2 linked regions of the Lonchura striata genome follow. The protein of the gene in region 1 interacts with the protein of each later gene in a pairwise test. Links are inferred from orthologs where the notes say so. Each region holds a gene or a part of one and is shown on either strand. Other genes may lie near its edges.

The links.
Region 2: the proteins of MAP1A (region 1) and RHOB interact in a two-hybrid assay, tested with the Homo sapiens proteins (2 studies listed by BioGRID and IntAct). The link is inferred for Lonchura striata from reciprocal best matches to the Homo sapiens genes MAP1A and RHOB.

What each region holds. Positions count from the first base shown.
Region 1 is NC_134613.1:24,565,362-24,576,749, forward strand, and holds the start of MAP1A (microtubule-associated protein 1A), read right to left. Parts: upstream 4,041-11,388; 5' UTR 4,032-4,040; coding exon 3,896-4,031; intron 1-3,895. UniProt on the Homo sapiens protein: Structural protein involved in the filamentous cross-bridging between microtubules and other skeletal elements.
Region 2 is NC_134605.1:104,395,175-104,405,382, reverse strand, and holds RHOB (rho-related GTP-binding protein RhoB), read right to left. Parts: upstream 4,026-10,208; 5' UTR 3,731-4,025; coding exon 3,140-3,730; 3' UTR 1,657-3,139; downstream 1-1,656. UniProt on the Homo sapiens protein: Mediates apoptosis in neoplastically transformed cells after DNA damage. Not essential for development but affects cell adhesion and growth factor signaling in transformed cells. Plays a negative role in tumorigenesis as deletion causes tumor formation.

The DNA of each region.
Region 1 (11,388 bases):
AGCAGGAAGGTGCTTCTGCTCCCAGAGCAAGTGGCACCAAGCCATACAGGGAAAGTCACCTTCAGACCTCAATGTGAACAGATGTACATTCTGGAGGACACCAAACACTACAGACCACCAATTTTCACATCCCAGTAGGGAGCAGCCTTTCCTAGATGGTGTGACTCTACACTGTGCCACAATGAACAAAAGCAGGATATCACTACAAATCCTTACTCCAGCATCTGGTGCTGATGCCTGCTGATGTTCAGATGTTGAAGGCCAATGCCACAGACTTCTAAGGTTAACCGAAACAAGAATTTCAGCGCCAATATTTATTGATGGAGTCCTCCCTGAGAGTTCTTTCACCATTTCTCTTGCATAAAATACATAAAAGTTGCATAAAGTACATAAAAGTTTTATTGCCTCTATTATCTACTTTCTTTCAAGGTAATGATGTTAATTTTCCATGGAGATATCATTCCCATTTACTGCAGTTATAGCTCTCCATGTTGTGCAAAGCTTTTGCTGGCCACTGGTGGGAGAGGATCCTCAAGGGCTCCAGCTTTCTACACATACCAAGACACAGTAATCATTGAATCACACAGGTCAGTAGTCTCAAGGCTGTAGAATCTACAGCAGCTAAAAAAACCTTTGTGCTTGGTTTCTTTTTCTGGTGACAGCTGACACAGTGGAGTAGCAAAGCTTATTTATGCTTATTTATTAACAGTATTCACTTCAGACTGCACAAAAACTCCTCACTAAATCATCTGATCTTCAGGGGGAAAAAAAGAAAAGAAAAAAACACAGAATACCAAACAACTTACCAGCACAGCACCTTTCAATTTGGACATGGGATACAAACAAACAAAACACATGGAACAAGGAGATGGACAAAGTGTTTTCCTATCCTACACTCCAAGAGAGCATAATTGTTTAACAAAATGTCCAGTGTAAGAGAATATCAATGCAGTAGTTATGAGCATTCTGACCTGGACAGGAACAAGGTGGCACTCTGCAGGGCAAATCTTGCTGACTAGCTGCTGTGTCATGGTCATCGTGTCCTACTGCAGCAATAAGTGCTATTTGAGGTACTGCTACATCCTCTAGGTTGCAGAAAGAATAGGTGCTCTTTCAGAGCAAGAAAGGGAAGAGTGGAATTATCTCACTTGCAACAATTTATCCATAATTTTCTTCCCTACAGGTAGTCTGAATTTACTCAATCTCTACAAATTTGCCACTATTCCAATTTATCACTTCATGGCACATAAGCCTTGCTGATTAGAATCCTCTACTATGAGAGTGCAGACTATACCACAATAACGGTAAATATTCAAGCTCTTTGCAAATGCAAAGCCTAAATAAGGGGTCATGTGACTCATCAGTTTTCCATCTCATTCTTTATGCCCTTGTGAATGCTTTATTTCCTGCTGAGGTAATTAGCTTAAAAGATTTAGCCTTTCTCCCCAACACTAGACCAAGTCTTACGGATATTGTTTCAAAATTAGACAAAAGTAACACAGTAACAGAAAAATAAAACTAGCATTTTTCAGACAGCATGTTCGAAAAAGTGTTGTTCAGATATCCCATAGATTCACAATGTCATAGCCTACAAAGCTCTACACCTGGAAATGAGCAGGTTCCTATAATGCATTGTAGCCACTATTGCATTCTCCTGGACTATGGTATAGAAAGAAGTCTGGAAAAATATACATTTATAGCAGTCAGGGCAGGAGATTTATCGACTGAAAAAAAAAAAAAGTCTTTGGTTGGTTTTTTTTGTGTCGTTGTTGTTGCTTTTGTTATCTGCTTTGTTTTTTGTTTGGTTCTTTTTTTGGGGGGGGGTTCTTTTGGGTTTTTGTTTTGATTTTTTTTTTTTATGCAGACAGGGTGCCACAGCCAACAGGACACAAAACAAACCCTAGCTTTTTCATCCTTTGTATAGTCACTGCTCAGCAACTTGTTCTACCTTCACATGAGCCCTCTGCAGCAGCTAACATTTAAGTAAGAATCATTTCTAAATTTCTTGAACTCCCTGAATCAAGAGTGCAGCTATCTACAACACCATAATATGCAGACTATTGACAGATCTCAAGATTGCTGTCATTTTAACTATTCTCATTTTTCATACCTTTCAATTTGCAAATATTGGTCCATTTTAAGAAGAGGTCATCCTCCCATTTCATAGTGTAGAAAACTAACTTGCTGGAGGTCCTATTCCATGTAAGAGATAAAACTGAAATCCAGATTTCCAGCTCTATGTGATTCACTTCTACTGCCAGTAACTTACTAATACTGCTGAAATGGCTCCCTCTCATGCAAATAAAAGTGTTTACATTTGGCAGAATTTCAGCAGGTTTCTAGTCACAGAAGGCCAACTATAGAACTTATTTCTACTGTGGCAGTTACAATTTATGTTGAAAACAGCATGTTTTTCCTCTGCAGTGGGAATTCTCAGGTTACTGGCATGTGACCACAGAATCAGAGCAAAATCCTTTAGTTCACAGTGTGATCTATCACCATTTCAAAGATTCAGACAATGGATAAGGATGTAGGTTGGCACACCAGTTCAGTGAAGTGCCAAGTGAAGATGATCATCCTGCTGTGCAGGAAGCAAGAGTGGCCCCTTCAAAGAAAGCCTTTCAGAGGCCAGATGGTCACAATCAGATCTACTACTCCTGAACTAAAGCCATCCCTTGAAAAAGGGAATGAAACACACCTCATTAACAAAGTGGCCTGCTAACAGAGGTAGCTGGAAAAGCTATAGTGAAGAAGTTGGACAATATTTGACATTTTTACACCCACCCTTTTCTTAAATCTTCGGTAATGCTGATGCTTGGGAAGAAAACAGTCGCAGAATTATCTCTGAATAACACAGTTTGGCCAATACTTATGACTGTTATTTCAACCCAACATGCCTTGGAAGTGGGGAGCTGAGGGGAAGAGTGAAGGTGAGTCAGAAGGTTGTTACTTTATTTCACTAAGGTGTGCTAAACTGCTTATTAGAACAAGGGTTCCCTTAAGGTCCTGATGTAGCTGATCAGCTCTCCTTTGTCTTTTGGTCAGAAACTATCAGAAACTGCCACAAGGGAAGAGCTATCATCTCAGCACCTCCTTCCGCCTTACTTCTAAACAACACTGTGTCTAATATACAAAGCCTAATTCATTGCCAAGACCTCTGGATGTTATTAAAATATGGATAACAGAGAAGAAAAATGCCATGGCAGATCTATCCTGCATTGTGTCATTCCTGAAGCAGGTCACTGTGTGACTACTCCTCCCTCACTCTGGTCCATGGAGCTATAGACAGGGAGAGGCCAAACTACAGCAGACCCTTGTGCACAGCCGTCCCTGGGACCACAGTGAACAGTCTAGCAAGACAATTCCTCCATCATGACAGAATTTTGGAGTAAGTTTGAAATAAGATGCACCCTACCAAACCTCTACTAAAATAAAGACTGAGGGGAAGGAGAACCACGAAATGTCTTTAAGCTTTAAGATGTTCGAAAACTGCTTTAGCTATATCTCACTAATGGATATAAAGCAATGATCAGGGGAGATGCCGCAGAGCTCAGCCCCGCACTGCGCCGGGGATCCGAGCCCCGCCCAGCCTCACCCTCCGCCCTGGCCCCTACTGGGCCCCACGGCTTCAGCCTCGGCCTCCGCCCCGCGGTCCCGACAGCGCCCCGACCCATCCCGCAGCCACCGCCCGCAGGCCTCTGCCGCTCTCCGGGAGATGGCAGATAAAGCCCTGCGGCGAGACGGCGGTGCCGCAGGGCGGGGAGGGCACCGGCAGCTCCGCCTCATCCCAGGCGGCGGCAGGAACGACACGGCAGGCGCGCAGTTCCTGCGGCTCTCAGGGGCAGGGATCGCGTCCGCCTCAGCCCGGCCCCTCCGCCGCGGCCCCGCTGCTCACCGCGCTCCAGGGCGCCGCGCAGCGCGCCCCGCTCCGGCTCCGTCCCGATCTCCCCGATCACGGCCAGCAGCGCGTGCCGCCCACCGCCCGGCGGCGCCGCCGCGTCCATGGCGACTGGCCCCGCCGCCGTCTCCATAGCAACGCCGCGGCCGCTGCTGCAGCGCGCGATCACTGGCGCGCGGCTCTTAAAGCGCCCTGACTCCCCCTCTGATTGGCCGAGCCGGCACGTGGTCCTGCGCTGCTGCTGGAGGGGGCCTGGCCTGCCCATCCGGGGCCCCGCCCGGCTCGCGCCCCCTCCCGCCCCGCCCGCGGCCCCGCCCAGAGCCCAGCCCCCCGGGCTCCCCCGCTCCGCCCCGCGCGGCCCCGCCGCAGCCGCGCCCCCCGGCGGCGGGAGCCGGCCACTGCCTCCGTGCTGACCGGCCGTTACCCCCGCGCGGACCGGCCGCTACCTCCGTGCTGACCGGCCGCTACCTCCGTGCTGACCGGCCGCTACCTCCGTCCGGCCGCTGCCGCTCCCGGGCTGCCCGCCCAAGGCAGGTCGTGCCGGCACGGAGACTGCCGGTGAGCCCCCGCCGGCTCTAGGGTGCGACGTCTTAGTTCCTTCCGTCAAGATCGACAGAGCGGTACAGCGACCAGCTCGGATGCTCAAAACCATAAGCGGGCCTCAGACCTTTGAAAGAATAAATCAGGGGGGAAGGCGTGTTGGTTTACACTTTAGTTTAGAATTTAATTTCTTAAATACAGAAATCCACGGAGATTTTTAAATGCTTGGTGTTGAGTTGTTCCAATACCCACAATAAAGCCATAGAAGACATAAAGACTCCAAGGCTTGGTATTGTCATTCACCTTCTTTATTTCTCCACTATTGCTTGCCCATGAGCAGGTCCCTTTCCGGTGGTTCTTCCTTCTGTTCAATTAAAAGTAAGTGTAATGCTCTCCTGGGATAAATAATGGGATTTCCTGGATTCCAGACCCATGGGCTACAAGAACAATCTGAGCTGCCGGTGCAAAGCTGATGCGAGCTGTCCATGGCTGTACTGGCTGGCTATGGTGTATGCAGCAGTTCTTACTGTCTGCGGTGATGAGAGAGGCCATATCTTTGGGCACAATTTGCTCACAGTTCTGGCCAGCTACTGCTGAAAAGAAGTTCAATGCAGATGGCCTTAAGCTGAGACATAAGAGATCTCTGGATTAGATATTAGAAAAATTATTTCCACTGCCAGGCATTGGAGCCTGGGAATTGTTGCCCAGGGAAGAGGTGGAGTAACCTCCCCAGCAGTGTTCAAGAGGTGTCTGGATCTGTATCTGGATGATGTGGTTTAGGGGTTACAGTGGTAGTGCTGGGTGGATGGTTGGACTGGGTGACCTTGAAGGTCTCTTCCAACCTTGGCGATCCTATGATGCTATGTGCAAAAGCTGAGCAACCCCAAAGTATGAGACTTCTACAGGCTGAACAAGGGAGAGACACCAAAAAGTAGTTTCAGGCAGAAAAATCTGTGTCTTTTCTGACAGATAAGGAAGGACCAGCCTGTGCCGATGCAGTTGGGTAGAAAAGCAACCCAGTTATTATTAAATTACACCAGTCAGCAATAATAGGCAGCGTTTCCTAAAACAGTGTCAGGTTTTGCCCTGCAGTGCACAGGATTTCCACAGGTGAGCTATAGTTTAGAAACCTGATGGACAGATAAGTCAGCATCCTGCCCTCTTTCATTCTTTTGTACCCACCAAGACTACATTTGAAGCCTCATAAGGTTCAGAAAGTTGGTATTTTGGCAAGCATATATGAATCTATAGTGTCATAGGACTCTGACAAAAGATAGTCAGGGGAAAAAAAAAAAAACAACCAGAAAAAGGGACAAAAATATAAAATTATTATCTCTGCAGGCTACAGCTGATGTTACTAGCTTTTGGAGTTTTCTCAAATTAAAATCTTAAATCAAAAGGTGGTCTAGTTCTCCGCAGATAAATTAAGAGATAATGCAATAGGTCTTTTTCACATTAAACTATGATCACACCACAGGCTGTGAACTTTATGAACTAAACCTTGTAAAAAGGGAGAATTAGTATATCAAAAGGATTTAATTCATTTCTGTGTGTTGTAACCTGCATGGAAGCAATAATTTAATTTTAGAGGACTGCACTGAACAGGCAAATAAGTGAATAAAATAGTAAACCTGAAAATTAATGCTAATGCACATTAAATTCTATCATGAAAGTAGGATTGTAGGTCGTGGAAGGAAAAGATGACAACAACACATGAAGGTGGAAAATATTCAGATATTTTCATACCAGCTGATAGAAATACCTTCTGTTTTCTGGTGATTCAGACTTAGTACTTGCTGCTTGTTTTTGACATGGTAGCTTTCCAGAGCCGCAGCTTTTCACTGCAGTGCAGAGATGCTCTTCCAGCTGGCTTTCTGCCAAGGAGAAATGAAACAGGAGACATGCAAACTGGAGTGAAAGCTTGAAAAGAATATCCAAACACAGAGACTAGAAGCTCTGGGGAAGACTTTACAATTAAAAACTAATTCTGGTGATGTGACCATTTGCATTCTTCTACTGTACCATCAGTTAATAGAATGATGATATTTCTGTTGCTCTCTAATGTGAATCAGAGATGTCTGTGGTCATGGTAGAATTGCAGTAAAAAAGGCTTGAGTCCTAAGTCTGTGTGCACTGCATGAGACAGTGAAATTAGGTATTTCCAGTTTACTGAGTGTAAATTCACACTCCAAAACCATATAATAGACCCATACAGAAATGACGGCATAAGCTTCTGCTTTCATGCACTGCAGCAGTAGCTGGCATCCCCATGAAAATCAAAAGCTGACTGTGCTGAATGCAGATATTAGAGGTCCTGACAAACAACACAGAAGGAGAGTGGCAAAAGCAGAGTAAAGGATTACTTTACTGAAGGACGAATCACAGGTAAATCACTTTTATAAAAGGAGATTTAGAAAATAGGATCAAAATAGCATAAAAGGATTTTCACAATATTGTGAGAAGAACAATCTACACTATTTCAATTCCTCAGTCCTTAACCCTGGAATGATTACTTCCTGTACTTCCCAGCTAAAAATTTCCAAGTGAATAAAAGTACTTCAGGCAATCAGAGACCTTTGACAGTACCCAAGTGAGGATAATGCCTTTAACAGTGGTGAAATATACTATCATTTTGGCTGGGACATTTCTAAGAAACAGAGAAAAATCAGGTGTCTACCTAAAGGGACTTCGTTCAAGTCTTGATCTCTCCTGTGGTAAGCACAGCCATCCCTACATGGAGCAGAAGAACCCAGCGCTGATAATGCTTTTATGTACAGATGGAGTCTTATGGTTGTTTATACGGACACTTCCAGAATGTATTGTAAGATAGAGAAACAGAGGGCTAAGCTTTTCAGTTTGGCCAAAACACATTTTTGCTTCTCTTTAATCCCATGGGTAATCAGAGTAGTACTCCTATTCCTTCCATTTTTATCTTTGAGAAAGTGTAGCAAGATACTATCTCCTGTGCAATTTGGAACAAAGCTCTGATCAAGGCTAGGCTATAAGGGCCAATGAAATTATCAGATATGGTCATTGTGTCAAGTGACTCAGAGCTTTGGAATTAAAAGACATGTTTATCAGACTTTGAAAGGTACTAATTTGTACTTTTATGGCAGTCCTTCTTTGAAGCCAAGGTGATTTTTAATCAATCAAATACTAAATACAAACTGGCGAGAATCCATACCTCTTTGTTTCATTTTCCCACATAACTAAAATAAGTCAAAATAATATAGCTGAAATGGTCAGGCAAAGTACAAGTCTAAAAAATCGAACATTACTGAAAATTTTTTGCAGACTAAACTGTGTAGGTTGCCCGCAGCCTTACTGAACAGTACAAAGAAATGATAATGCCACACTTTCCACCATAATTGTGCACGTCTTTCACAGCTTCTTCTGTTCAGTAAAGTCAAGCACTGATTTCAACATTTCTCCAGAAAAAGGTGCAGACAAACTGCACAATCCCGGCTTGTAATGAAGTAACTCAGTTGCAGTATTTCGTGGTGCATTTTGTGCGATTGAATAGGTTGCTAGCGTTCAGAGAAAGTGATACGCACGTAAATAAAGCGAACACTTGAGAAGTTAATTTTTTCTGGCAATCACAGCCCCGCCTGGCATGACCGAGTATCTGAGCCTTCTCGTTGTGGCGTTCATGCAGGCAACACTTTGTTGTAGTCAGCCTTCGGCAAATGAAGGACGCGCATGATCTGCGTTACCGGTAAGAGTCCTGCCGGAGGGGGCAAGAGCGCGCCAGGGGCGGTGCCGGGGGCAGTGCCCGGCGCAGGGCGGGGCGGTACCGGGGCGGTGCCGGGGCGGTGCCGGGGCAGTGACGGGGGCGGGGCGGTGCCGTGCAGGGCGGAACGGGGGCGGTGCCGGGCCGGGGCGGTGCCGGGGGCGGTGCGGTGCCGGGGGCGGTGCCGTGCAGGGCGGTGCCGGGGCGGGGCGGTGCCGGGGGCGGGGCGGTGCCGGGGGCGGTGCCGGGGCGGTGCCGGGGGCGGTGCAGTGCCGGGGGCGGTGCCGGGGGCGGTGCCGGGGCGGTGCCGGGGGCGGTGCCGGGGGCGGTGCCGGGGCGGTGCCGGGGGCGGTGCCGTGCAGGGCGGTGCCGGGGCGGGGCGGTGCCGGGGGCGGTGCGGTGCCGGGGGCGGTGCCGGGGGCGGTGCAGTGCCGGGGGCGGTGCCGGGGGCGGTGCCGGGGCGGTGCCGGGGGCGGTGCCGTGCAGGGCGGTGCCGGGGCGGTGCCGGGGGCGGTGCCGTGCAGGGCGGTGCCGGGGCGGGGCGGTGCCGGGGGCGGTGCCGGGGGCGGTGCCGGGGGCGGTGCCGGGGGCGGGGCGGTGCCGGGGGCGGTGCCGGGGGCGGTGCCGGGGGCGGGGCGGTGCCGGGGGCGGTGCAGTGCCGGGGCGGTGCCGGGGCGGGGCGGTGCCGGGGGCGGTACCGGGGCGGGGCGGTGCCGGGGGCGGTGCCGGGGGCGGTGCCGGGGGCGGTGCCGGGGGCGGTGCGGTGCCGGGGGCGGGGCGGTGCCGGGGGCGGTGCGGTGCCGGGGGCGGTACCGGGGCGGGGCGGTGCCGGGGGCGGTGCCGGGGCGGTGCCGGGGGCGGTGCCGGGGGCGGTGCCGGGGGCGGTGCCGGGGCGGTGCCGGGGGCGGGGCCGGGGGCGGGGCCGTGCCATGCAGGGCGGAACGGGGGCGGTGCCGTGCAGGGCGGTGCCGGGGGCGGTGCCGGGGCGGTGCCGGGGGCGGTGCCGGGGGCGGTGCCGGGGCGGTGCCGGGGCGGTGCCGGGGGCGGTACCGGGGCGGTGCCGGGGCGGTGCCGGGGGCGGTACCGGGGGCGGGGCGGTGCCGGGGCGGTGCCGGGGCGGGGCGGTGCCGGGGGCGGTGCCGGGGCGGTGCCGGGGGCGGTGCCGGGGGCGGTGCCGGGGGCGGGGCGGTGCCATGCAGGGCGGAACGGGGGCGGTGCCGTGCAGGGCGGTGCCGGGGCGGTGCCGGGGGCGGTACCGGGACGGGGCGGTGCAGGAGGCAGGCTGGTCCCGCCGGCGGCGCTCTCCTGATGTAAGCAGGGTAGCATCAGTCTTGTTCGTCGGCGTGGTGCAGCTAAAGTGGGCGAGCGGGGCCGGGCCTGGCCGCCGCCGCCGTCTTCATCACCCGCGTTCGATTTCTCCGCGGAGTACCGCGGGGAGAGCGGGCAGCCGTGCGTCGGGGCCCGGGAGCGCTGGGGCGCTGCGGGCCCCGTCTGGGCAGCCCCGGCAGAGCGGGACGGGACTCCAGAGGAGCTCTGCCGTGACCCGGGAGCGAGGGCGGAAGGCGGCGGTCGCTTCCGCTCCCCCGGCCACTTGGGTGTCGTGCTGGCGGCTCGCGGTGACTCAGCCGTCGGTAGCACGCCGAGCCTCTGCACTCACGGCCCCCGAGAGCGGTGAATGCCAGGCACTATTTGTTCCTAAAGTAATGGCGCAGAGAACAGTGCATACGGAAATTGGCCGGGTAGGTTTTAAATGCGTCTGCATCACAATAGTTAAAATCCACAGTACAAAACATAAAGCTGGTTTTCCAAAGACAAGTAGCATCCTTAGTCTTTTAGCAAGCTTAGCTATCTTGCTGGGTATCTTCGTTTGTTGTAACTAAGTCTCATTTGAAATCAGGTCTGGAATTTGGTCCTTTTTCTAGGAATACTGTCCAGTTTTGAAGATGGGGCCTAGGGCTACACTGAGACATGGAGAACCAGATTCAAAGTGCAAGAAATGAGAATGAGGAATAGCAGTCCTGCTTACTGTTTCCCATAGTTAGTGGTCTGCAGTGGCAGGGAGCTTTTGGATGAAGATCAACTAGAGCGTCAGCTCACTATTGTAAATTCTGTAAGATACAAGAAATTTGGAAAAATCCTCCAAATATGAAAAATCAGTCACCACACCTTCATTCATTGGAAGTCTGGTGTTGGACATGTTTTGTTTGAAGCAAAAGGAAGCAAAGATTCATTATGCTCTTTTATTCTTTCTTAGACAAAGATAGCCATGCCCTGTTTGTAGTTTATAATTAGACTCAGAAAAAAGGCAATCTGCCAGCTGCAGAAAAATACTTAAATGAAGGTATTTATGTTATAAAGAAGGGAGTGCATTTATTCTCATAGCATAACAAAGCTGGAAAAAGTGAGATTACAAATTTGACACAAATAACGTGCAGTCAGCTTTAAAACACACACATATTTGGCATTTACAAATTTGACCACCTGGACTGAGTTTTCAATTTTGTCCTATTGAAAAAAAAAAAAAAAAAAAGACTGGCAGGAGATTCTAAAGATAATGTAGTCAACTTCCCATTTCAGACCAAGATCAACTCTACACATTTACATTTGTTTCTACTGAAAAAAACCCAAAACAACAAAATCTTAAATGTTAGATATGGCATGATTTTTTAGAACTTCTTTAGGCTTGCCTTTAAAATATTTTTACTTATTTGTTTAGTCTTTAATTTACACCTCCTTGGAGTTAATTTGAAAGCAAATTCAGTTGTCCTCTAAACTGTACGTATTATTGAGAAACAAATTATTTGCCACCAACTTTTTTTCTATTTGAAGAATGTTATGGTAGTCAAATCTTTTGCCATCTTCTCACTAGATGCAGGGCTTAACTTAGGCCGTGCCAGTAGAGAGTACAAGAATTACTTCATGCGTCTAAGGTCTACATACTACACACAAGTATAATGCTTATTGTTTGCTCCATTTTTTTTTTTTGTGGCAGTAGAATGATATTGACTCAGTTTGTCAATCCTTTATTGCTTTATTGCCTCCATTGCTTTATTCTGCAGAAATACCATACAGCCCAGCAGCCCCCTCCTGAATTTGTGAAGTCAGTTGTTTAATTCTATATAACATTGTTCTTACCTGCATTGTACTTTGTCCATTTTCCAGACAATTAAAAAAAAACCACCTTTCTTCTAGTACTTCTAGTCCCCCTCAATTTCAGATT
Region 2 (10,208 bases), on another chromosome or scaffold:
AAGATCCAACTGGAAATAATGAATGTAATTACCTTGTAAGCACCTCAGTGGAAAATATTGGTATAGTTAATTATACAGGGATGCAATGCTAGCCCATTTCCTAGTGTTTAAAATACAAATATGAATGCTTTCTCCTTTGAGGTTTTGAGAAGATTAGTTATTGCTGCAGTCCAACTGAATTGATAAGGCTTTCAGCTATTGCAATCATTTTAATGAGAAGGTTTCTAATACAGGTTTAACATCAATGGCTGGCATCATGTGCAAGAGTGTTACTCTGCACAGAGCTGGGGGTTTGAGTCCCCCTGCAAGAACGAGGGCCCCTTTGGCCATGCCCTTTAAGCATCCAACACTGAGATTTCTTTCAAAGGATGTTTGATTTTAACATTCTCAAACTGAAGATAAGAAACTCATACACCGAGTATCTAGAGAATTGAAATTTGAATATCAGGAGAATGAGGATACCCAAAACCTAGGACTTAGGTACCTTTCAAGAAATCCTGACAAACTGGCTACATGAAAATGCGCCTGTCTTTCATTAAGAATCATAGGAAACAGTGTAATAAACTCACAGCATGGACTGATCATGTACTGTAGTATTTTCATATTATGGTTTATTGACTTTCCAGGTGTTGAACAAGGAACCTGTTATTTCTATGTCAGTCTGCCTGAAAAGCCCCATCACTTTCAGCCCTCTGTGAGCAAATGAGCAAAAGCCACTCCATGTGCTTTGCTTGCCTTTGCATTTGATAGCAGCTGTTAACATTTTTGAACTATATGTACCCTAGCAGTTACTCATAGGTCAAAACCTGAAAAAGCTCAACTCTCTTCTCACATCTCTGCAAAAGTAGTGGAGAAGATTTATGAAAATAGAAGCCTGTCCTTGTGAAGCTATCTGAGAAAGCTTTTCCAGGGGAAAAAAAATAAAGGAGACAACAGCACTTTGGGTATAGGTCTTATTGTTTAGCAACAATCACATTTTGGACAAGGCCACGTCTTCCTGGCAGGAGCCAAAGCCACAGCAGCAGCACAGGGCCTTGTGCACCTGCCCAGGAAAGAAGAGGGGACAGGCACAATGCCCTGCTAGGGAATCCCTGAGGCGGAGAGGCCCCCCGCTTCTTAGGTTGCCATGGGAATTAATGAGGCCACAATCGGGAAATCCATCCCGGCAGCTTTGGAGATGCTGGTTCAACAGAGAGCAGTGTTTGCTCCCATGCGCTGCTGCAGGAAGCAGGGCCATGCGCTCCAAGCAAAGGGGAGACCGCTAAAAAAACTGCTTTTATCTAAATACTTCCTTGACAAATAATCCTTACTGCTGGTGCTGCTTTTCAGTTTTGTGCCCGTTCTGCTGCAACACCAGCTCACCGGAGCCCAGGCAGGAGCCACAGAGGCTGCCCGTGGTCAACAGCAACAAGGATGGATCAGTCACCACCTTGACTTTTCAATACATTTCCATATACCATGCACTGAAAAAAAACTAAGGAAGCAGCTCCCCCAAAGGGAACTAAAACCACCATCCTCTAAAAGCTGCCAGATAGGTGTTTCACCCAGTGGAAAAAAGCCAAATAAAAGCATGTGTAGGCAAGGGGCAAACTCTGGTCTAGTTCAATAATATCCAGAGGACAGTCTCCATGAATCACAACACTGGTCTCACAAGTGTCAGCATAGAATCTTTTAATACTTTACATAAAAAACTGCATACACTATAGTTTTATGTAAACATCATATACATCTCAGTTTTTGCCATGTCAGTTTATTAAAAACAGTCTCAGTACCACTGTTGAGGGAAGAGGGAATAAAGTAAACAAACATAAATGGATACATTTGTTCTCTGAACCAGAGAAACAGAAAATTATTTTCACCCAGGCTGGCCACCTTGTGAAAATAAGTTTTAAATAAACCTTGATTCTTTAAACTGCCCTTTAGTACTAAAGTCTGATGTACTCACTGCATAAGTAACAGTGCTTTCACCCTTTTTTTTTTTTTTCCAAGGCAAAAATAATACAGTGGTTTTATTTTGTCTTGTGTTGAAATCAGTTTTAAACAAGACCCAGATGAGGTTACCGAGTAAGAATGTTTCCAATGCTACAGTGTTGTATGCAGATGAGCGCATTGAGTGTTTAATTTAAACATTAAAAACTCCACCGAGTTGTGCAAAGTAACATCTTTTGAAAATAAACTTTTAAATAAACCCAAATCAACACACTTGCAGGAGACAACATCAAAAGTAAGGAGCAGGCACCAAAATCATAATATGGCAATATCATCCCCTTGCTCATCCTGCCTCATCTGTCAGGAGGTGGATATCCAGCAAGCAGGACAGTTCAGCTTTACTTTCTGGCCTGGTGGCTTCTGCAGCTGGAGTCAGTTCATGGCTCCTGTTATCAGCAGGCATCAGTCACTCAGGGCAAGTTCCTTTGCACAACACAAGTCCCACCTGGGCACCCCCTCCCCACCTCACTTTAAATAAGCACCCCCTGTACTACCCCAGTTTGCACAAGACAAAAAAGGTAACATATATACAGGCTTTGCTTGGGATGACCCTCCCCTCCCCTCCCAGTCTCGGTCTTCAGGGCGCTAACTTCCACAGCAGGTCAGGCTCAGGCTGAAACATGTGAGGGAGAAGCAAGGATGCTGCAGGCAGCCTGGGAGAGGCAGCCCCTTTCCCCAGCTCGCCTGGGTGGAGGCACATGCAGGCAGGAGGCAGAAGTCCCTTCGAGCATCTCAGCTCCACCGCCCTCCTCTTGCAAAAGAGAGGAGGCTGCCCGGGAGCAGGAAGCAGCAGGTGTTGGCAAAGGGGCAGAACCGGGTGCAAGGTTTGCTCAGTCCAGTCTCAGCAGCTTTTTGTCGTTGAGTCCACGACTAACTCGCAGGGGCCAGCGGTAGGAGAAGGCTTCTCCCCACTTTATTCCCAAGATTCAGGGCATGCAATCCCCCCCTCCCTCCGTCCCCGCGGCTGAGCAAGCACAACCCTTTTTGGCCAAGGCTCAAGGAGCGTGCTCCCTCCCTTAGCCCCCACCCCATGCACAGCCAGTCCCTAGCGGAGGGGACAGGCAGATGCCGTGTGCGTATAACCCAGCTCCTCTGCACCTGCCAACAGGTGACCCGGGCGCTGTGCCCAGCGCCGCGCTCCAGACACGCCCTATAGGACTTTGCAGCAGTTGATGCAGCCGTTCTGGGTGCCGTAGCGCTTCTGCAGGGCTGCCCGGGTGGCAGTCTCGAAGACCTCCCGGACACCCTCCTTGGTCTTGGCCGAGCACTCCAGGTAGTCGTAGGCCTGGATGCGGATGGCCATGGCCCGGCCGTCCTCGGTGCGCACCGGCTCCTGCTTCATGCGGGCCAGCTCGTTCCGCACGTGCTCGTCGTTCCGCAGGTCCTTCTTGTTGGCCACCAGGATGATGGGGACGTTGGGGCAGAAGTGCTTCACTTCGGGCACCCACTTCTCCGGGATGTTCTCCAGCGAGTCCGGGCTGTCCACGGAGAAGCACATGAGGATGACATCGGTGTCCGGGTAGGAAAGGGGACGCAGGCGGTCATAGTCCTCCTGGCCAGCCGTGTCCCACAGGGCCAGCTCCACCTGCTTGCCGTCCACCTCTATGTCCGCCACGTAGTTTTCAAAGACGGTGGGCACGTAGACCTCAGGGAACTCGTCCTTGCTGAAGACGATGAGGAGGCAAGTCTTGCCACAGGCACCGTCCCCCACCACCACCAGCTTCTTGCGGATGGCAGCCATGGCCAGGCTCGCCAAGCTGGCCTTGCCGTGCAGCAGGACGATGGCAGCGCCCTCCTCCCCGCGGCCGCCGCCTCCCGCTCCCTCTCGCTTCTCACAGGGCACCGTGGCGAGCCGGCCCGCGCAGGCAGGCGGGCGCGCCCTGCTCTCTCCGCTCACCGGCACCGCGCCGCCGTATCCTGCCTCGCGGGAGCGCTACGGCCGCAGGGCAGCGCCGCCGGCCCCGGAGCTCTGCGGTGGGAGCGGTGCCGCCGGTTCTCGCCTCACTGCACAGACACGAACGGGACCCGCTCCGCGCAGCCACTGCCGCAAGCTGCGGCCCGGCGCCGCTATTTAAAGGCGCTCGCGGCTTTCTTAATATAGCTGGCCAATGGGAAGGCAAGGAGTGAGGTCATCCCCGGCGGAGAGCGCTGCGATTGGCGGGCGGCCGCGGGCGGGGGGCGGGGCCGAGGCGGGGGGGAGCGGCCGGGCCGGGAGCGGCCGGGCCGGGCCGGGGCAGCGCGCCCGGGGTGGCGGCGGGCGGAGCCGCGCTGGGGCGGCCGGGGCTCCGTGTCCCCGGTGCGAGCCTGTCCCGGTGCGAGCCCGGTGCGAGCCTGTCCCGGTGTGAGCCTGTCCCGGTGCGAGCCTGTCCCGGGTGAGCCTGTCCCGGGTGCGCCTGTCCCGGGTGAGCCTGTCCCGGTGCGAGCCTGTCCCGGGGTGAGCCTGTCCCGGGGCGAGCCTGTCCCGGTTTGAGCCTGTCCCGGTGTCAACCTGTCCCGGTGCGAGCCTGTCCCGGGGTGAGCCTGTCCCGGGGCGAGCCTGTCCCGGTGTGAGCCCGTCCCGGTGCGAGCCTGTCCCGGTGTGAGCCTGTCCCGGTGTGAGCCTGTCCCGGTGTGAGCCTGTCCCGGGTGAGCCTGTCCCGGTGCGAGCCTGTCTCGGTGTGAGCCTGTCCCGGTGCGAGCCCGGTGTGAGCTTGTCCCCGGTGCGAACCTGTCCCGGTGCGAGCCTGTCCCTGTGTGAGCCTGTCTCGGTGCGAGCCTGTCCCGGGTGAGCCTGTCCCGGAGCGAGCCTGTCCCGGGGTGAGCCTGTCCCGGGGTGAGCCTGTCCCGGTGCGAGCTTGTCCCGGGGTGAGCCTGTCCCGGGGTGAGCCTGTCCCGGTGTGAGCCTGTCCCGGGGTGAGCCTGTCCCGGTGCGAGCTTGTCCCGGGGTGAGCCTGTCCCGGGTGAGCCTGTCCCGGTGCGAGCCTGTCCCGGGTGAGCCTGTCCCGGGTGAGCCCTCCCGGCCCGGGGATCCCGGTTGTCGCCGGGGCAGGCAGGGCCGGTCCCCGCCGCAGGCTCGCCGCTCGGGACGGCCTGAGTGAAGAGGCTGGGCGGGCACCGAGAGGAGCGGGGAGCGCCGCTGCGTCCCAGGGGCAAAGTGAACAGAGAGCATTGCAGGCGGGTGAATAAAATAAAAGCGTCCGCTGGGCGCTCCTGGAAAAGCGCTCGACACCCTTCCTTAAGAAATTAATCATATTCGACTCTCGCCAGCTTTTGGCCAAAAGGGAGCAGAGGAATTGCAAAGCGGGAGAAGCAGCAGGCTTGAACTGAATTGGCCTTTGGGTCTCAGTTTACAGGGATATCGGAAGTCACAGCAAGGAAAAAATGAACGTGGAGAATAAAGGGGCGCAAAGCCCTGTAGTGAGGGGTTGCTGGGAGGGCAGGATGCGAGTCCCTTCACAGGAGGAGCTGGCTGGGCTGAGCTGGGCCGGGCTGGGCTGAGCCGAGCCGGGCCGGGCTGGGCTGAGCCGGGCCGGGCCGGGCTGGGCTGAGCTGGGCCGAGCCGGGCCGGGCCGGGCGCGCTGGGGTGGCCGCAGTGCCGGGGCACACACGGACACCGCCGGCAGCGACGCGCTCGGTCCCTGTTGCAGCTGCCGCTGCTCAGCCGGGTGGTGTCCCAAACTTCTTCCCTGCCAGCACAGGCGCAGATGTCTTGTGGCTACTGCCTCTCGGGGTTTGATTCGAAGTGTCCCGTTTTCCCAGCCAGTACTGGCATTAGGGTATGGAACAAAAATGAGTGGTTTGTACAATACTGTTGTTATTAAAAGTTGCATTTTAAAATACCCACTTGGAGAGCGAATGCATCACTGAGTACATCAAATTGCCTGACAAGTTACTTGCAGCAGACTGTTACAGAGGGGTGTGTGTCAATAGGGCAAAAGGTTCGTTTAATCCTAGACATTGAAATAAAATTCATTTTCTGTGAGATTTTTGTAATACCCATTTCTCCCAGTCAAAAGAGCATGTTCCTGGATGCTGACGGATGAGTTTGTGCCTTGATCATACATAGGTTTGTACAGCATATTTTATATGAACATAATAAATTCAAACTGATTTTTTTAAAGAATTCAGCAATAAAGTGTAGACATAGACATGGATGTTCTTCAGTACCTATGGCCTTCCAGCGAGCCAAATTTCTGGCTTGCATCATCCCTTTAAATCCGTTGTCACTGCTCACAGGCTTCAATTCTTCTCAAACTGCGTGGAAATCACCCCCCTGCTGCCATGTCCTCCTGGCACGGGGGGATGGTGCTCGGGCAGCTTGCAGCTATTTTCTCCGCAGTCCCAGGCGGGGAAGGCCGCTGGGAGAGGCGGGCGGGGGGATTTGCGGCGGATTCCCGTTCCATGGAATCCCCGGCTCGCCGCTCCCCCCGCGCCGCCCGGCCGCGCCGCGCCGACGGCGGGGCCCCAGCGCCCCCTCGCGGCAGCTCCGCGCCCTGCACCGCCCTGCGCCTGCTCCGTGCGGCTCCGCAGCTGGAAAACCCTCCGCTGGAAAACCCTCCGCTGGAAAAACCCACCGCTGGAAAAACCCACCTCTGCGGCGGCAGCAGGAGAAGCTGCGACTGCTTCACCTGGCCTGAGAGGTGCTGCTTAAATATACTTCTGATTCCGCTTGTATTTTGAATCATGCCTGGGTGTTTGGTTTTGTCCTTTCAGGAGCAAAATGTTTTATTAAATAGAAGAAGGAATAATGCAAATGAGCAGTTACGTGTATTGACTCATCTGTGCTGTGCCACCGAAGGCAGATAAATAAGCAGTTTATTCATTTCAAAGCACACGGCTCTATTGTTGCCCAGAGTGCTGCTTACCTCTTTAAAGGTTGCCAAGCAGGGTGACCTCATCCAAATTGTCTGCTGATTCCAGCTTCCAAACTGTGCAAAGGAATTACTCCAGAAATGTCCAGCTAGCTCAAGTTAAGTCCATAGCATGATTTTTTCTTGTAACTGAGCAGTATATATATATTTGCAGCACCCACTTATGGTCTGAGCCATGACTTAATGGCTCATGCTTAATTTTCAAGTCTCACATCTCTAGTTTTCCACACAGTTGCACTGAAAGCAAAGTGCCTGATGTTTCATCTCTCACCTTGCAAGACAGACTTCAGCAAAGGCTATGTAACACCTTGACCAAGGCTTTCAAATGCTTTATAAGTATTTTTTTCCAGAAACTTTATATCATGAGACTCAGCCCTGTGACCAACTCAAGCTGAGATCACACTCCTTTCACTGTCCTGGGGTACACTCCAGCAACAGCCTCTAGGGGGAACATCTAAGTCATTGTGGTTATTACACATCTGTAATTAGTGAATATATCCAGCTTATGTATTTTAGGGCTGAATTTTAACTGACATTGTAGCTTTTATATTTTCTGCATGAATCTGCATGATATAAACTGTAGTTCTTTATGCAAGCTGAATCTTCACCTCTAGTTAGCTGTTCTAGTGCAAAATGTGCACTCTAAGCATACTGTTAGTTCTGCTGCACCATATACTTCTGTATGATTGAGGAAGAAAGCATGAAGTAGGACAAAGAAGGAAGACACCACTTGTTTGTTTTTATTGCTTGTGGGGATGGTTTTGAGATTAAAACTCAGATTTTGTTGTTTATTTATTTATTTATTTATTCATTTATTTAATCCAAGTGGCATTTTTTAGTTGAGAAGACAATTCCTGTCAATTACTGGAGATTTTTTTTCCAGCTTATATTCCCCCCCTGCTCTTCTTCTAAGCAGATTTTCTAAAGGGCATGTCTGTAACTCAGATACATTGTGTTCAGGTGTAAATCTGTACCAAAAGTATGAAAGCTCAGTGGGGAAGGCAATCTTTCTCCTTTCTGTCAATAAGTAGGCAAGTAAGTACATAGCCTGCTGTGGCATAACATGCTGAGGGAGCCACATGTCCTCTCATGGCACACAAAGTCCTGCGTGCTGGCTTGTAATGCCAGCATCAGGCATCCTGCAGTCCTCATGCAGGCAAAGCTCCTCAGCAAAGCGAGGAAGGCAAGAGGCAGTGAAATATGAGCAGTTCACAGGCTAGTGTGGAAAAGCTCTGGGTAGATGTTAGAGAATGGACAGAAATGGTACCTGTCCCCCTAAGAGAAAAGCTTCTGGCACATTTAGGAACCAGACCTTGCTGTTTGTCACCACAGGTCCATTGCTTTCCAACGTTCCTGGAGGAATGCAGAGTTCAACTCTCAGAGCCGGGATCAGCACCCTCAGCAGACAATCCAGACTGATCTGCCTAGAAACTGGAATGCCAAGGCACAGCAGGAGAAGGTGAAATGACCTGTGTGTTTTCATGCAGATGTTTATGCTAAGTGCAGTGCACATGAAAGCATACCAGCCCAAAAAATATGCTTTCATGACTAAATAGCTGTATGGGATCCACTGGCATTGCTCTTCCAGGGAATAAGAGAGGTCAGAAGCTGTTTAATTTTTTCCAGTTCTTACAGCAAGACTATAAAATTCATACTTTAATAGGACTCAGGAAATACGGGTTGCCAGAGTAAAATTATACCACTACAGTATATTAAAGTGGCCCTTTGTCTCCAGGTGAGTTCAAATTAAATAAAAACAAGTGCCTCATCCTTAGGCAAGAATTTTTAGACCTAAAACACCTAATCTCAGTTGAAGAACCCTTCTGTAGCTTAAGGAAATAAATGAGCTGACCATATAACTCTTATGGATACTCATGATGTTACATGTCTACATCACCAGTGATGTCTTTGGAAACAGTTCTTTCTGCAGAGAGACCAAACTTGTCACCTGGTTCCCTTTGTTCTCAGTTTTTACTGACTGCAGACACCTTGCTGTCTTTGTCTACCAGGAAAACTGAGACAGAGTAAAGGTTGCTTGTCCAATGCCAAGATAGCAGGGAATTCAGTCTCTCTATCTGGAGTTAAAGAAAGTATCCTTAACAGTGGGAAGTTCTTTATTTTTAGGATCTCCAGTGAATGTACTTCATTCCATATTTTCAGGATGGTCCGACACTGGAAAAGGCTGCCCACAGAAACTGTGGAGTCTCCATCCTTGGGCATATTCAAAACCCAACTGGACACAATCCTGAGCAACCTGCTGTAGTTTATCCTGCTCTGAGCAGGGCAGGGTGGAGTAGATAACCCCTCCTCACCTCATCCATTCTTTGGTTCTGCAATTCATCCATCTGTGATGCCTCAGCAGATCTGAAAAGTGATGTTTGGAGGGTCTCTCTTGCAGGTCTACTCCTGTTTCACACTCCAGCACTGTCAGCCCACATTCCACCAGGGAGTTTGGCACACTCGGTTCTGAAGTGCTCACACAGGATGAGTCTTTTGCAATAGGAACAAGGAAACTTCTGAAGTAAGCATGTTGTGATTTGTTAACAATTTGTGTAATTTCCACTTTATTGGCAGTAAAGTAGATTTCTTTAAAAAAGCAATGATGTCATATGGTCCTCCATGTAGATTTATTTGCTATATTAAGATACATTAACTTATTGTTTTAATTACTGTGGTCTTCATGGTGGTCTTTGAAGCGTGGTAGTCAGTTCTCTCTGTAGGGGAACCTGTGACCTGAGGAACCTGAGGCAGCAAGAATATTAGAAGAAACTGGTCTGAGGGAAGGTGGTTGATGGTGGCAATTACTATCCTGTAAGTCTAACAAACTTATATTTCATATAAATTAACCATGACTCTATGAGGACTTGAAAACACTTTCTTAATTCCCACATGATCAATGCTCTGTCAGCAAAAGCAGCATGAGTGCACATAGAAGAGCTATTGCCATGTAGAATTCCACTAACAGATCATGGCAGGAAAAATGTCAATAAAACCAATTTGGAAATTTATTCAATACAGTGTTTTACGTTCCATCTCACTCACAAAATTAAGTCATTCAATCTAAAAAATAAATCTGTTACAGACTGAACACTGACCATAAACAATATCTGAGATTATAAAACAGAAATACAGGGTACTGCAGGAGTCTTGGTTACATACAGATTTGGCTTATACCTTAATTTTTTGATTTATAAGATGAGGTAAGAACAGGGTAGTCACAATTTCAGAAAATTGTGATGTCAGAGAAATTAAAAGACAGAAAAATAATAGGGGAAAAAGGTAAGACAGGAGTATAGGGACAAAAAAGGAAATAAGGGAAATTCCAAACTAATGGAATTTCTCTCCTCTCCTCATTCTAGCCTTCAGAAG